Stegostoma tigrinum: one gene and its partners. Each later gene encodes a partner of the first gene's protein in a complex. Links are inferred from orthologs where the notes say so. Each region holds a gene or a part of one and is shown in the gene's direction. Other genes may lie near its edges.

Evidence for each region.
Region 2: the proteins of beta-arrestin-1 (region 1) and metabotropic glutamate receptor 3 are in contact, whole or in part, in a cryo-EM structure (PDB 9II2), measured with the Homo sapiens proteins. The link is inferred for Stegostoma tigrinum from reciprocal best matches to the Homo sapiens genes ARRB1 and GRM3. Residues at the interface, in NP_004032.2 of Homo sapiens: Gly5, Thr6, Arg7, Val8, Phe9, Lys10, Lys11, Ala12, Ser13, Pro14, Tyr21, Arg25, Arg65, Glu66, Asp67, Leu71, Gly72, Leu73, Thr74, Phe75, Arg76, Lys77, Arg103, Leu104, Lys107, Pro133, Arg236, Phe244, Asn245, Thr246; in NP_000831.2 of Homo sapiens: Pro605, Lys608, Ala609, Ile669, Phe670, Asp671, Gly672, Val673, Lys674, Asn675, Ala677, Gln678, Arg679, Lys681, Phe682, Ser684, Cys761, Pro762, Glu763, Phe765, Val834, Val835, Thr836, His837, Gln855, Ser856, Ser857, Ala858, Ser859, Thr860.
Region 3: the proteins of beta-arrestin-1 (region 1) and ntsr1 are in contact, whole or in part, in a cryo-EM structure (PDB 6UP7), measured with the Homo sapiens proteins. The link is inferred for Stegostoma tigrinum from reciprocal best matches to the Homo sapiens genes ARRB1 and NTSR1. Residues at the interface, in NP_004032.2 of Homo sapiens: Tyr63, Arg65, Asp67, Leu68, Val70, Leu71, Gly72, Leu73, Thr74, Phe75, Arg76, Lys77, Asn245, Thr246, Ala247, Gln248, Tyr249, Lys250, Lys284, Arg285, Gly286; in NP_002522.2 of Homo sapiens: Ser93, Leu94, Gln95, Ser96, Leu97, Gln98, Thr100, Val101, Arg166, Ile170, Pro173, Lys177, Phe286, Ser287, Met288, Ala289, Ile290, Ala297, Leu298, Gly301, Ser368, Asn370.

Annotation. Positions count from the first base shown.
Region 1 is NC_081359.1:109,447,607-109,451,357, reverse strand, and holds the start of beta-arrestin-1, read left to right. Parts: upstream 1-1,516; 5' UTR 1,517-1,851; coding exon of another isoform or gene 1,852-1,871; intron 1,872-3,751. UniProt on the Homo sapiens protein: Functions in regulating agonist-mediated G-protein coupled receptor (GPCR) signaling by mediating both receptor desensitization and resensitization processes.
Region 2 is NC_081378.1:2,760,330-2,764,080, forward strand, and holds the start of metabotropic glutamate receptor 3, read left to right. Parts: upstream 1-1,004; 5' UTR 1,005-1,085; intron 1,086-1,526; 5' UTR 1,527-1,678; intron 1,679-3,751. UniProt on the Homo sapiens protein: G-protein coupled receptor for glutamate. Ligand binding causes a conformation change that triggers signaling via guanine nucleotide-binding proteins (G proteins) and modulates the activity of down-stream effectors.
Region 3 is NC_081372.1:20,182,557-20,186,307, forward strand, and holds the start of ntsr1 (neurotensin receptor type 1), read left to right. Parts: upstream 1-1,613; 5' UTR 1,614-2,031; coding exon 2,032-2,709; intron 2,710-3,751. UniProt on the Homo sapiens protein: G-protein coupled receptor for the tridecapeptide neurotensin (NTS). Signaling is effected via G proteins that activate a phosphatidylinositol-calcium second messenger system.

The DNA of each region.
Region 1 (3,751 bases):
GTTGAGATGAGATTAGCCATGGTGGTATTGAATGGTGGAGCAGGTTCAAGGGGCCGAATGGCCTATTCCTGCTCCTAGATCTTTCCTTTTGGAATACGGCACACAATTCTGGCCATCCATTTATAGGAAAGATATTGGTAAATATGAGAAGGTGCAAAAGAGATTTACAAGGATGTTGCAGGCTTGGAAGGTTTGAATTATTGGGAGAGGCTGAATAGCCTGAGGATTTTTTTCCCCAGGAGCGTCGGAGGCTGAAATGTGACCTTACAGAGGTTTATAAAATCATGAGGGGCATAGATAAATTGAATGACAAGGATCCTTTCCCTTGAGTGGGGAAGTCCAGAACTAGAGGGGCAGAGGTTTAAAATGAGAGGGAAAAGATTTAAAAAGGACATGAGGCATAACTTTCTCACGCAGAGAGCAGTGTGTGAATGGAAGGAGCTGCCAGAGGAAGTGTGGAGGCTAGTACAATTACAACATTTAAAAGGCATCTGGATGGATGTATAAATAGGAAGGGTTTAGAGGGAGATGGGCCAAATGTTGGCAAGTGGGGCCAGATTAGTTTAGAATATCTGGTCAGCGTGGACGTGTTGGACCGAAGGGTCTGTTTCTGTGCTGTGCCACTCAATGGCTCTATGAATCCATGAATATTTCAGTTGCAAAATCTCACCACTTTTCCAATGGATATGTGTATAATTGTGGATGTGTAAATAACCTACAAAGGGTACAGTTTCCCCTTCATTCTTTCAGGGTGTCACTGGCTACAACCAGCATTTGTTGCCCATTCCTAATTGCCCTCGAACTGAGAGGCTTGCTCAGCCATTTCAGAGGACACGCATTGCTGTGGGTCTGGAGTCACGAGTAGTCCAGACCAGATAAGGACTGCAGATTTCCTTCTCTAAAGGACATCAGTGAGCCACCAATGTGTACAGCTGGATGACCACAGCAGGCCAAGCAGCATCAGGGGAGCAGGAAGGCTGACGTTTCGGGTCTAGGCCCTTCTTCAGAAAATCTGCGAGCCAGATGGGTTTTTCAACGATGGCTGATGTGTTACTGTCATCATCACCGAGACCAGCTTTAAGTTCCAGATTTGCTCCAATCCAGCTGTTTCGTGGTTACAATAGTTTCCAATTACAAATTTGTTGAATTGCACAGTCACTGCTATGGGATTCTGAGCACATGTTTATACATTATTGGATTCTGACACCACTACTATGCTACCATTCCTGTAGATGTGCCTGTCTGCACACTTTGTTAATCTCCATCCATATTAGGGAATGTTTTTCTGTTTCTTGTATCTGGTATAGTGGTAACTATTCCTCTATTATGTCTGGTTATGTCTGTCCAGTCCTGAACTGTTCTCTGTAAATCTATTAGCACTCTCCTTTCCCCAGAGTTGGGGTGTCTGGGGGGGTGAGGTATTAATTCAGGAGGCTGTCAAAACCATAACCCTTTTCTGCCCACGAATCAGTCTGTATAATGGTTGGTTCGGCTTTAAGCAGAGCTAGGCGTGGGGATGTCTGTGTGTGTGTGTGTGGAGTAGGGAGTCTGACTGTGTGTGTGTCGAATATGCAGCAAGGAATGACGGTGGAACTGAGCAGTAGGGATTTGGGATTAACCCTCCTCCGCGAAAGAAATTTATCTGTTTAATTATCAGATAAGGGAGGGGTGTGTGGCCGTCGGGAAGAAAAGGAATGTGAAGAGAAGTGGGAGTGGACGAGATTAAAGGCGATAGAGAGACAGCAATAAACAGGGGCTGTCTGAATTAAATCTCAGTTGTAGCTTCCGAGGGCTCGGCTCTGATCTGAAATTCCGGGGTTCTGTCCACGAAGCTGGAAAGGCAGCAGAATAATGAGTGACAAAGGCACAAGGTTTGTGAGATTTCTGTTTTATTGGATGCTTAAAACGCAACTGGAAAGGGGAATGGTTAGAACGGGTTGAGCTCCAGTCTTGAGACTGGGATGCAAACTGGGAGAGAGTCTCCTGGCTTTATTTGTAAACCTTGAACATTCTCAATCAGTCTGTTGCTAATAACATAGGGGGAGATGGTGGCCTAGTGGGATTATCTCTGGACTGTTACCCAGAGACCCTGTTATTCTGCTGGGTACCTGCATTCAAACCCTGCCATAACAGAAGGAGGAATTTGAATTCAATAAAAACAAAACTGCAATTAAGAATCCAATCACAATTGTCATTAAAAACCCATCTGGTTCACTAGTATCTTTTCTTTTAGTAAGGAATCCTTACCCAGTGTGGCCATCAATGTGGTTGATACTCAACTGACCTCTGGGCAATTAGAGATGGAAAGTAAATGCTGGCCTGGCCTGTAACACTCACCTCCCATGAATAAATGAAGATCAGATTTTTCTGGCATTTTTGAGTTTAATTTTTCACGATGATGTTGTTTTCTTCGTGCTACCATTGCAATGTTTGCTGCTGGTTAAAAGCTTTTGAATGAGACTCTGAGCTAAGATCCTGGGGTTAACTGGTACTAGGATTCAATTTAAAAGCCTTGATGATCGCGGGGTGGGGTGGGGTGGGGATAGATGGGGATTTGTCACAGGATTGTTTGAAAGTGATCCCCCTCCCGTTTTTAGATCCCTTTGATTCCTGTTCTGCCAACTCTTAGATATTCCGGTGGATTACCATTTCTCCCCCCGCCCCCGCCACTCTTCTCTCTCTCTCATTTTGGGATACAGCATGTTCCAATTTGAGGATTCCAAGTGGATCACATAATTACTTTCTTGTGGCTGTCCAACCTTCAGCTGTGATGAGAAACAACAGCAGGAGGAGGCCATTCAGCCCCTCTATCTATCCTGACACCCAGAAGGACAAAGGCTGTCCTATGACTTCACTTGCTTTGCCTCCCTTTACCAAGTGAAGGGGAATCTGAGGATGTTGGATATGAAATGATGCATCGGGCTGCGAGTCTCCTCTGGGAGAGGGTATTCCACATTCAGCTCAAGATTCAAAAGTATGAGGGTATGCGTAAGAAGCAAACATGGTTTGTGGAGTTAGAGCAGGAGAGAGCCAGAGAGTGGGGTCGAAGAAGATAAGAATGTTCTCCTTCAGGAAGAGAAGGCTCGGGGGAAGAATTAATAGAGGTATTTGAAATCATGAAGAACTTTGATCGAGTCGATCAGGAGAAACTGGTTCCGTTGGGATGGGGTGGGAGGGGGTGGTTTGGTGTGGTGGGTCGAATTGGCAAACCTAAAGGCCACACATTGATGAGGTTTGAGCCAAAAGGAGCCAACATTTATCTGACGCAAGGGGTTTCTGTGATCTGGAATGCACTGCCTGAAGGGGCAGTGGAAGCAGATTCAAGAGGAACTTTCAAAAAGACCTTGGATGAATTCTCAAACACAAAAGGGGGAGAAGGGAAAACCAGGAACTGGAGAAAGATGAAGAACAAACAAAGCTGACTGCCTGGTGTATTCTAAGAGTGGGGACAGATATAATGGACATCCCAGTTCACTGAGTAATAGGGAAGAAAAATAACATGTTGGCCTTTATTTCAAAGGGATTGGAGTATACAATTTTGGAGGTTTTGCTAAAACTACACAAAGCATGAGTCAGACCACAGCAGGAATACTGTGAATAGTTTTTGATTCCTTTATCTAAGGAATGATATACGGGCATTAGAAGCAATTCATAGAAAGTATGCTAGGTTGATAATAGGTATGGAGGGACTGAGGAGAGGTTGAAAACATTGGGCTTGTACATGTTGGAATATAGAAAAATGAGAGGTGAC
Region 2 (3,751 bases), on another chromosome or scaffold:
AGGATTCCGTGGGTTTGCTCATCTCCAGCTCACTACCTCAATATTCCTACAGGCACTGTACGGGCAAGCTGCCCTGTCAGGGGGATAGAGCACTCAACCTGCTGAAGAGCGTGTCGGAGAGGGAAACTGAAGTCTGAGCTCCCGCAGCAGCGGCGGGGCTGGGGGTAGGTGTGTGGGCATCTACCGGTACGTCCCATGCACACAAACCCAGCCTCACACCCTCACGCACTTATACACACACACGTATTTATTTACACACACGCGCACGCACTCGCATACACTCAGATACATTTACACACACAGATGCACACACTCATACACTTACACATTTACACACATACATTTAAACACACACTTAAACACGCACACACATTTACACACACACTCCCACACTCACACACACACACTTACAGATACACACACGCACACACTCGCATACACTGACACACATGCACTGATACACACACACACACTCACTCTCACACACACACACACAAACACACACTCTCACGCGCACGCACACACACACACTCACACACACACACACACACTCTCACACACTCTCACACACACACTCACACACACTCTCACACACACACACTCACACACACACACACACACACTCACACACACTCACACACACTCTCTCTCTCTCTATCTCTCGGTGTCTGGGTGCGGAGTCCCGGGCGGGATTGCCGGCCGCTAAGACTGATACTGGTCAGTGTCGGCCAGCAGCTCCCCGGGAGCGCGGAGCAGACCCGAGCCGGAGCCGCACAGACACACAGCGCTCTCTCTCTCTCCCTCTGTCTCTGTCTATGTGTGTGTGTGTGTGTGTGTGTGTGTGTCTGTCTGTCTGTCTCTCTCCGTGTCTGTGTGAGAGGCGGGAAAACACCGCTTTAATACAAGGATCTGACCAATCATATGGCTGTTTCCTGGGTAACCAGCTGCAGATTGATGCCAGTATCCAGGAGACGGCAGCATCCCGGGCTCCAATGACCATTCCCCAAAACCATAAAGCTCCGGCTGAACCGCTCCATCCGCCACTCAGCTCCGGCACAGCCAGGACCCGATCCCGGTGCGAGCAGGTCAGTCAGAACACCCCCTGCCCTCCCCGGGGCTGGTCAGCCCGACCCCCATTGCCGGGCCTGACCCCATCACCTGTAACCCAACAGCCTTCCCCTGCCCTCTGCCCCCTGACTCACTCCAGCAGCTTACCCCCTTGCTCTCCCCCCGCCCCTCCTGCACCCTCTCCACCCCTGCCCCTTCTATCCTGCCTCCCTCTCTCCTCCTGCCCTCTCCCCTCCTGCCTCATCTCCCCTCCCGCCCCCTCTCTCCTCCTGCCTGCCCTCCTACCTCCTGCCTTCTCCCCTCCTGCCCCACCCCACGCGTCCTCCTGCCTACCCTCCCCTCCTGCCCCCTGAGCTGCCGTCCCCCCACACCCCGCCCCGGTAAGTTACTGTAGTGAGTGAACCGAGAGACGGGGCTGAATTGAATTGATACTCTTGCCTCTCTGTGTGATGTCCCAGGGCGCAGTGTCCGTGGCCACATCAGGAACTCGCTGCGAGTTGACTTTGGCGAACCCAGAAGCCTACTGTGCGCTTCCTGATTCCCAGTGAGGAGCTACAGAGTAACTACAGGAACACCGGGATAACGGCACAGCCAGGCGAATGAGTAATCGGTAAGACGCTGCAGCTTTGATCTGCATCAGAGTTTGTATTTGTCTTGAACAGTGTTAATGCAAATAATGACAAGTGCTAAAGCTGAACAATACACTAAATCTCAAACGAATGCAGAAGAACCGACGGTCCTCTATTGAAGATGCGTTCTTTATTAGAAACATACGGAAATAGATTCGCTTTAGCAATGCGATCCTCCTTTGATATCTTCAGCAAACGCTGCACATGTGTTTGCGGAATCGCGTTGCTAAAAAATTCCGATATTTGAACGACCCTTACATTTCAACTTCGCGCAACGTGAAGCCAAATCCACTGGGGGCGGGGGCGAACTGCATGTCCACCGAGCTGAGGGGTCTACCTTCTGAACCCTCCCACCTTGTCCAGGTAACATTCCGGGGTTGGAGTGTTACCCTCGATATAGAACGCTTCCTTTTTTAAAGAACTGACATCTCATATTGCTGAAGGCATTCTTTGTATGCAGTTCTCTATACTACTGGATATATTTTATATTGCTTTTACAATATCTGGTTCAGCTGGTTTATTAAAACACGCTGAAGCCTGTACTCATAAAGGGACAAAGCGACTGAACATCACTTCTGGTTTATTTGACTGATTAATTAATAAATGAAGGTAATTTGGACCTGGTGGATGTGAGTTACCTTCAGTGATTACTAGACATGTTTGTGCAAATAGGTAAATTGAGGCATTGGACATGTTCCATTCAATTGTTTTATCCTGAAAATAAAACATCATCAGTCGGGAATATCGAGTGAGTTTCTGGGACTTAAGAGTCAGTAATTACAAGCAAATGCTGGCTTGCTTTTGGTCTATAATTCAGTCTGGGTGGAAAAGCAGAAACACAAGGCTCCTCGAATTGTTGTATATAATATCACAAAGCCAGGATAAATAAACAGTGATGTTATAGAGGAGTATGGTCAGGATCTTAAAAATGTTTCACAGAAGACATTCTGTTAAGGCAGGCTCTATCCAGTTTTGTATTTAAAATCATCTCAGAAATGCAGCAACACTAAACAGTTCATTTTTGATCCTCACACCTTTAACAACATTTTCATTACCCAACCAGTCTCTATTTCAGAAATTTCTGCTGGGCTAATCTTGTAGCCCTTGATTACAGAATAGTTCTGTGCCAGCATAATAAGCAGTGAACACTCTTGGCTGCAGCAGTGGGGAATGAGGAATAAGCATTGAAAGGTTTAAGATGAGTTATGGAGTGTGTAATTTGTATAGCATCCTCAAAGTGTTTGAGTCTTTCATCATCCTTCAAGATCAGTACTCAGTGCTGTTTGGATGAGGTAATGTGGTTTTATATTCTACTGTTCCAAGCTTTGAAGAATTCAAGGCAGTAAATTAGTGGAATCTTCTGCAGTGAGGATAATGAACTAGTCACTAAGTTTTCCTTTAAATTTACATTGTCATGTTAAATTGTGGTTTCAATCTGTTCGTACAGTGCTTTGACTGTTTCACAGAAGCACTAACCTTTCAATGTTCCTTTCCCATTCATAGAGCTACAGAGGGTGCAGTTCCCTCATGTTGTTATCTATTGGATACTGTATAAAAGACTGACAGAGATAGAATAGTAACAATAACTCACTGCACAGAATGTGTTTTTGTCAGAGAATTGCTCAGGCTGCAATTTGTGAAAGAGCCTGGGTTAGAATGGGATCTGACTAAACTGATCATTTGCTATTTTTTCAGTGACAGATATCATTGGATGAACGGCAATTAACTCTCATCTTACACAACATAACACATTGACACATGTGGATTTATTGATTTTAAGACAGTTTCATCAAACTCCAAACCTTCAACAAAGCAGGCTCAATCTGAACTGCTGTCATGAAAAGAAACTTTTCTGCTTCTACTCATGTGCATAAAATGGGATTAGAGAAATGGTTAGAAAATTAATAGTAGCTGAGAGTGTTTGTCTTATGAGGCATATAAGATAAGGAAGCACAAGGTTTGAACCTTAATCCATGCTGAATAAGGTGACTGCAAAGAGGAAATGTCTGGCCTCAGTGACTCTGTTTTGCTGCAGGTTCACAATTCCTCTTGGA
Region 3 (3,751 bases), on another chromosome or scaffold:
TGTTTCATACCAGCCAGTGGTTAGAGTGCACTTTCTGAGAGGGACGTAGAATCAGGCTCGACTGAAGCTGTCAAGGATTGATTTCACGGTTACAGAGAGAGGGGAAAGGGGATAAAATGGCTTAAGGGACTTGCTCTTTCAAACAGCCATGTCATATTGGACATGATGCGTCAAATGGCCTTTGTCCAGTCTGTAACCATTCTCTGAGTCTATAATTCTAAAATCAGGAAACAGCGGCCTTTTGCAACACTTGAGTACTTAAGAATCTTCACTGTTTCTTTTGTCTAATCGTGCAGTAAACACAGCCTGTCAAACAATAAAGCAAAAATCTTAGCCTAACATCCTAGCCTAACTAAGATTAAAGCAGAGCTCTCTTCTCTCTTCTACTCCCTCTCACCTCCCTCCTCCCCAAAACTCCAAAAACTAGAAATTATTGATTTTCTTGGAAAGAAAAGCGTTTGTCTCCATCCAGGGGGATGTAGAGATTATCACTGTATCTGAAATTACTGAATTTCAAACCCGCAGTAATTTGCTCCTTCACCCGTCTGTGATTTGTCTGGGGAAAATGAGTATGTTCCAAAATTTGGGAGGTAAATAGCTCACGCCAGAGAATTGGTATCAAAGCATATTTCTGCGGGCTGTAAAGCGATTAAATACCTTTATTGTAATGCTAGTTATTCAGAGGTGGTGTTAACATCTGGAAAATAAAGGTGGGCTTTCATCTGTACGAGTCCCCACCTTGAACTACATTAGGTTTTTCTTTAATCTCCAAACTCAGCTATCGAATCCCCATCTCGGTTTTTCACCCACGACTTGCATATAATCAGGAGAGCGGATTATTATAAGGAGGCTTTTTTAAAACCTACCTCCTGTTAGCTGCTCTCAAAACCGTGGTGGGAGAAAACTACAGTTCCGCCCAGAAAGCGTGAGCACTGCCTGGATGGTTGAAACTGATATCGTCCCCATATTTGAGAGTGAATTGGCGGAGCCAGAAAGCAAAGCGAAGGGCTATCTCTATTTCTCAAGGCGGAAGGAGCTCAGAGCTTCATCCCTCGCTGGATTTTCCCGGCGCTTCCATACAAAACGTTTTCTAGACACAGAAACTGCTGCGGCATTTACAAACTGTTCCATTTTCCACCCTCCGCCAGCGGATTCCCTATCAGTGTAAAACCGGCGGCACTTTTCCCAAGCTTGAGTATTTCACAGGAAGCTCGAGATCTGATGCAGCCCAACTTCCGAACGCACTTCGTGATCTTGAAAGCGATTTGCAACAAGTCAATTTACCCGAAATGTTAGCTCGGTGAGAGTGAAGGGCTCGGGGGAGGCAAGTGTTGCGGACGGCGGAATTCCCAGACATTTATTCTGGCAAAATATTCCCCTCCACCATCCCCGGTGTCTGAAACATGGTCAGCACCAGCTCCTTCGGAATTCGCTTAAATAACGTAGGAAGAACAATTCGGAAATCCAAAACCTGAAGCAAGAAATGCGACTAAAATAGACTTGTGCCGCGGAGAATGTTTAGGGGTGATTTCAGCAGAGCCTGGGAACTGGATATACATACAAGCAGGTGGCGACTAGTGACTGACTGTGCTAAAACAAAAATACCCGGGGAAACAAATCTCACATGGGGATATCACGCCCCCTCCCCTCACAATCCGCACTCCATCCCAAAAGCAAAGCAATGTCAAATTGTCCGCAAACAATGCACTTTCTATCTTGCTCGTCTGTTGTAGCTGCCCCATCCAACTCGGTTACAGCGTCTAACCAATATGAATTCCGGTCAATGTATTGCTTAAAAGCGCAGAATCTGAGCCATTTGGCCAATTATTTTGGCCCAGTCCCTCCGCTCAGTGCGTCACCTTCCGAGAAAGATCCTCGAGGGGCAACCGAACCTATAAAAGGTCCTGCTCCATTCGCCAGCAACCAGTACACTCCCGGGCGCTGGGATCAGGCTGAGCACTCGGACTGGTCCCGACTGCAGCCCACACTATCTCTCTCTCACACACACACACACGCACACACACACTGAAAATGAGCCTTGTCTTAAACACCAGTTTGGAGAGGCACGATGGTCTGAATGGGTTGCCAGCTGACCATCTGGCTGGATTTGGGATTAAGAATGTCACCCAGGAGCAACCAGGAGCCGGGGACAGCGATCTAGATGTGAACACTGACATCTATTCCAAGGTGGTCGTCACTCTGCTGTACCTCGGCCTCTTCTTCCTTGGCTCGCTGGGAAACTCGATCACTCTGCACACCCTGGTCAGGAAGAAGACTTTGCAGAACTTACAGAGCACCGTGCATTACCACCTGGCCAGCCTGGCTTTCTCGGACCTCCTCACCCTGTTCCTGTGCATGCCCATCGAACTCTACAACTTCATCTGGGTGCATCACCCCTGGGCGTTCGGGGATGCCATCTGCCGGGGTTACTATTTCCTCCGGGACGCCTGTACCTACGCCACAGCGTTCAATATCGCCAGCCTGAGCATCGAGCGCTACTTGGCTATCTGTCACCCATTCAAAGCCAAGACCTTGATGTCCACCAGTCGCACCAAGAAGCTCATCTCCATGATCTGGCTCCTCTCATTCCTGCTGGCCACCCCGATGACATTCACCATGGGTGAAAAATACGGGACCACAGACCCTGATCCAAATGATTTGATCTGCACCACTATTGTGAACGAATCGACTGTCAAAACAGTCATCCAGGTGAGCAACTGGCTGTCTATACGCCTGCACTGGCCGTGAATATAGTTCAGAGCAAACTAATTTAACTCATGCTCAAGATTGCCCCTAGTATGTTTCCCCTTTCTGTAATCTGGCACCGGCCTGTTGATTTGGCGTTGGTTTTCGAATTGTCTGTCTTTGATGTGTAGTGATTTCCTTAGAGACGGGTCTACAGAAAGCAGGAGCTATTTCCAGCTTTCCAAGTAGGACTGGGGTCTCCCAACCGCAAGCAGTCCTGATGAAAGGTCACAACCTGAAACTCTCTGCACAAATGCTGCTTGACCGACTGAGTTTTACCAGAAGTTTTTTCTAAAAAAAATCAAAAGACCAGTATCTGCAGTATTTTGCTTCTGTACTCTCAATTTAGTATTGAAAAGTTGAATTGTATGTTACTTTGAAATAGGTAATTTCAAAGAGAAAGGAATAGATTTTGGCGTTTAGCCATGATTTACCTTCATCCCCGACTGCGTTCTCTTTAAAATGAATCAGAATTTGCCTCCAGGCAGGAAAATGTCAGATCATCTTCTTAATAATTGTGTCTGTGAAAAGTATGCATCAGAATACAAGTCCTTTTATTTCTACAAAAGAATCTTTCACAAAGTGTACTCATAAATTATGCTATTTTGTACGATTACTTCAAGATTTCTTTCGTCTGTTCAAATCGAATGTTTAACTAACAGAACTTGCAGAATCAATCTCTCTTTAGGAATATAATCTGCACAGCTAATTATGTAGATTGGTAAGAAGCATGAGTATGAAAGGTTTCATGAATAACTGAATAGTATGCTGTATTATGCCTTTCTAGCATGTTGGTCTTTGATGTTTGTTGTTTCAGTATGAAGTGGAATGAAGAGCAGGCAGATTCTATAAAAGGCAATAACTTGACTGGGTTACTGCCTGTTTGAGGATGTAAAACAAAAACTACCACAAAGTGCAGTATGCTGACAATAATATGAAATGGAGAAGTTAGCGGCTTTGACAATATGGTTGAAAGTAGTTAGATATTTTTCATTGTCAAGGTTTG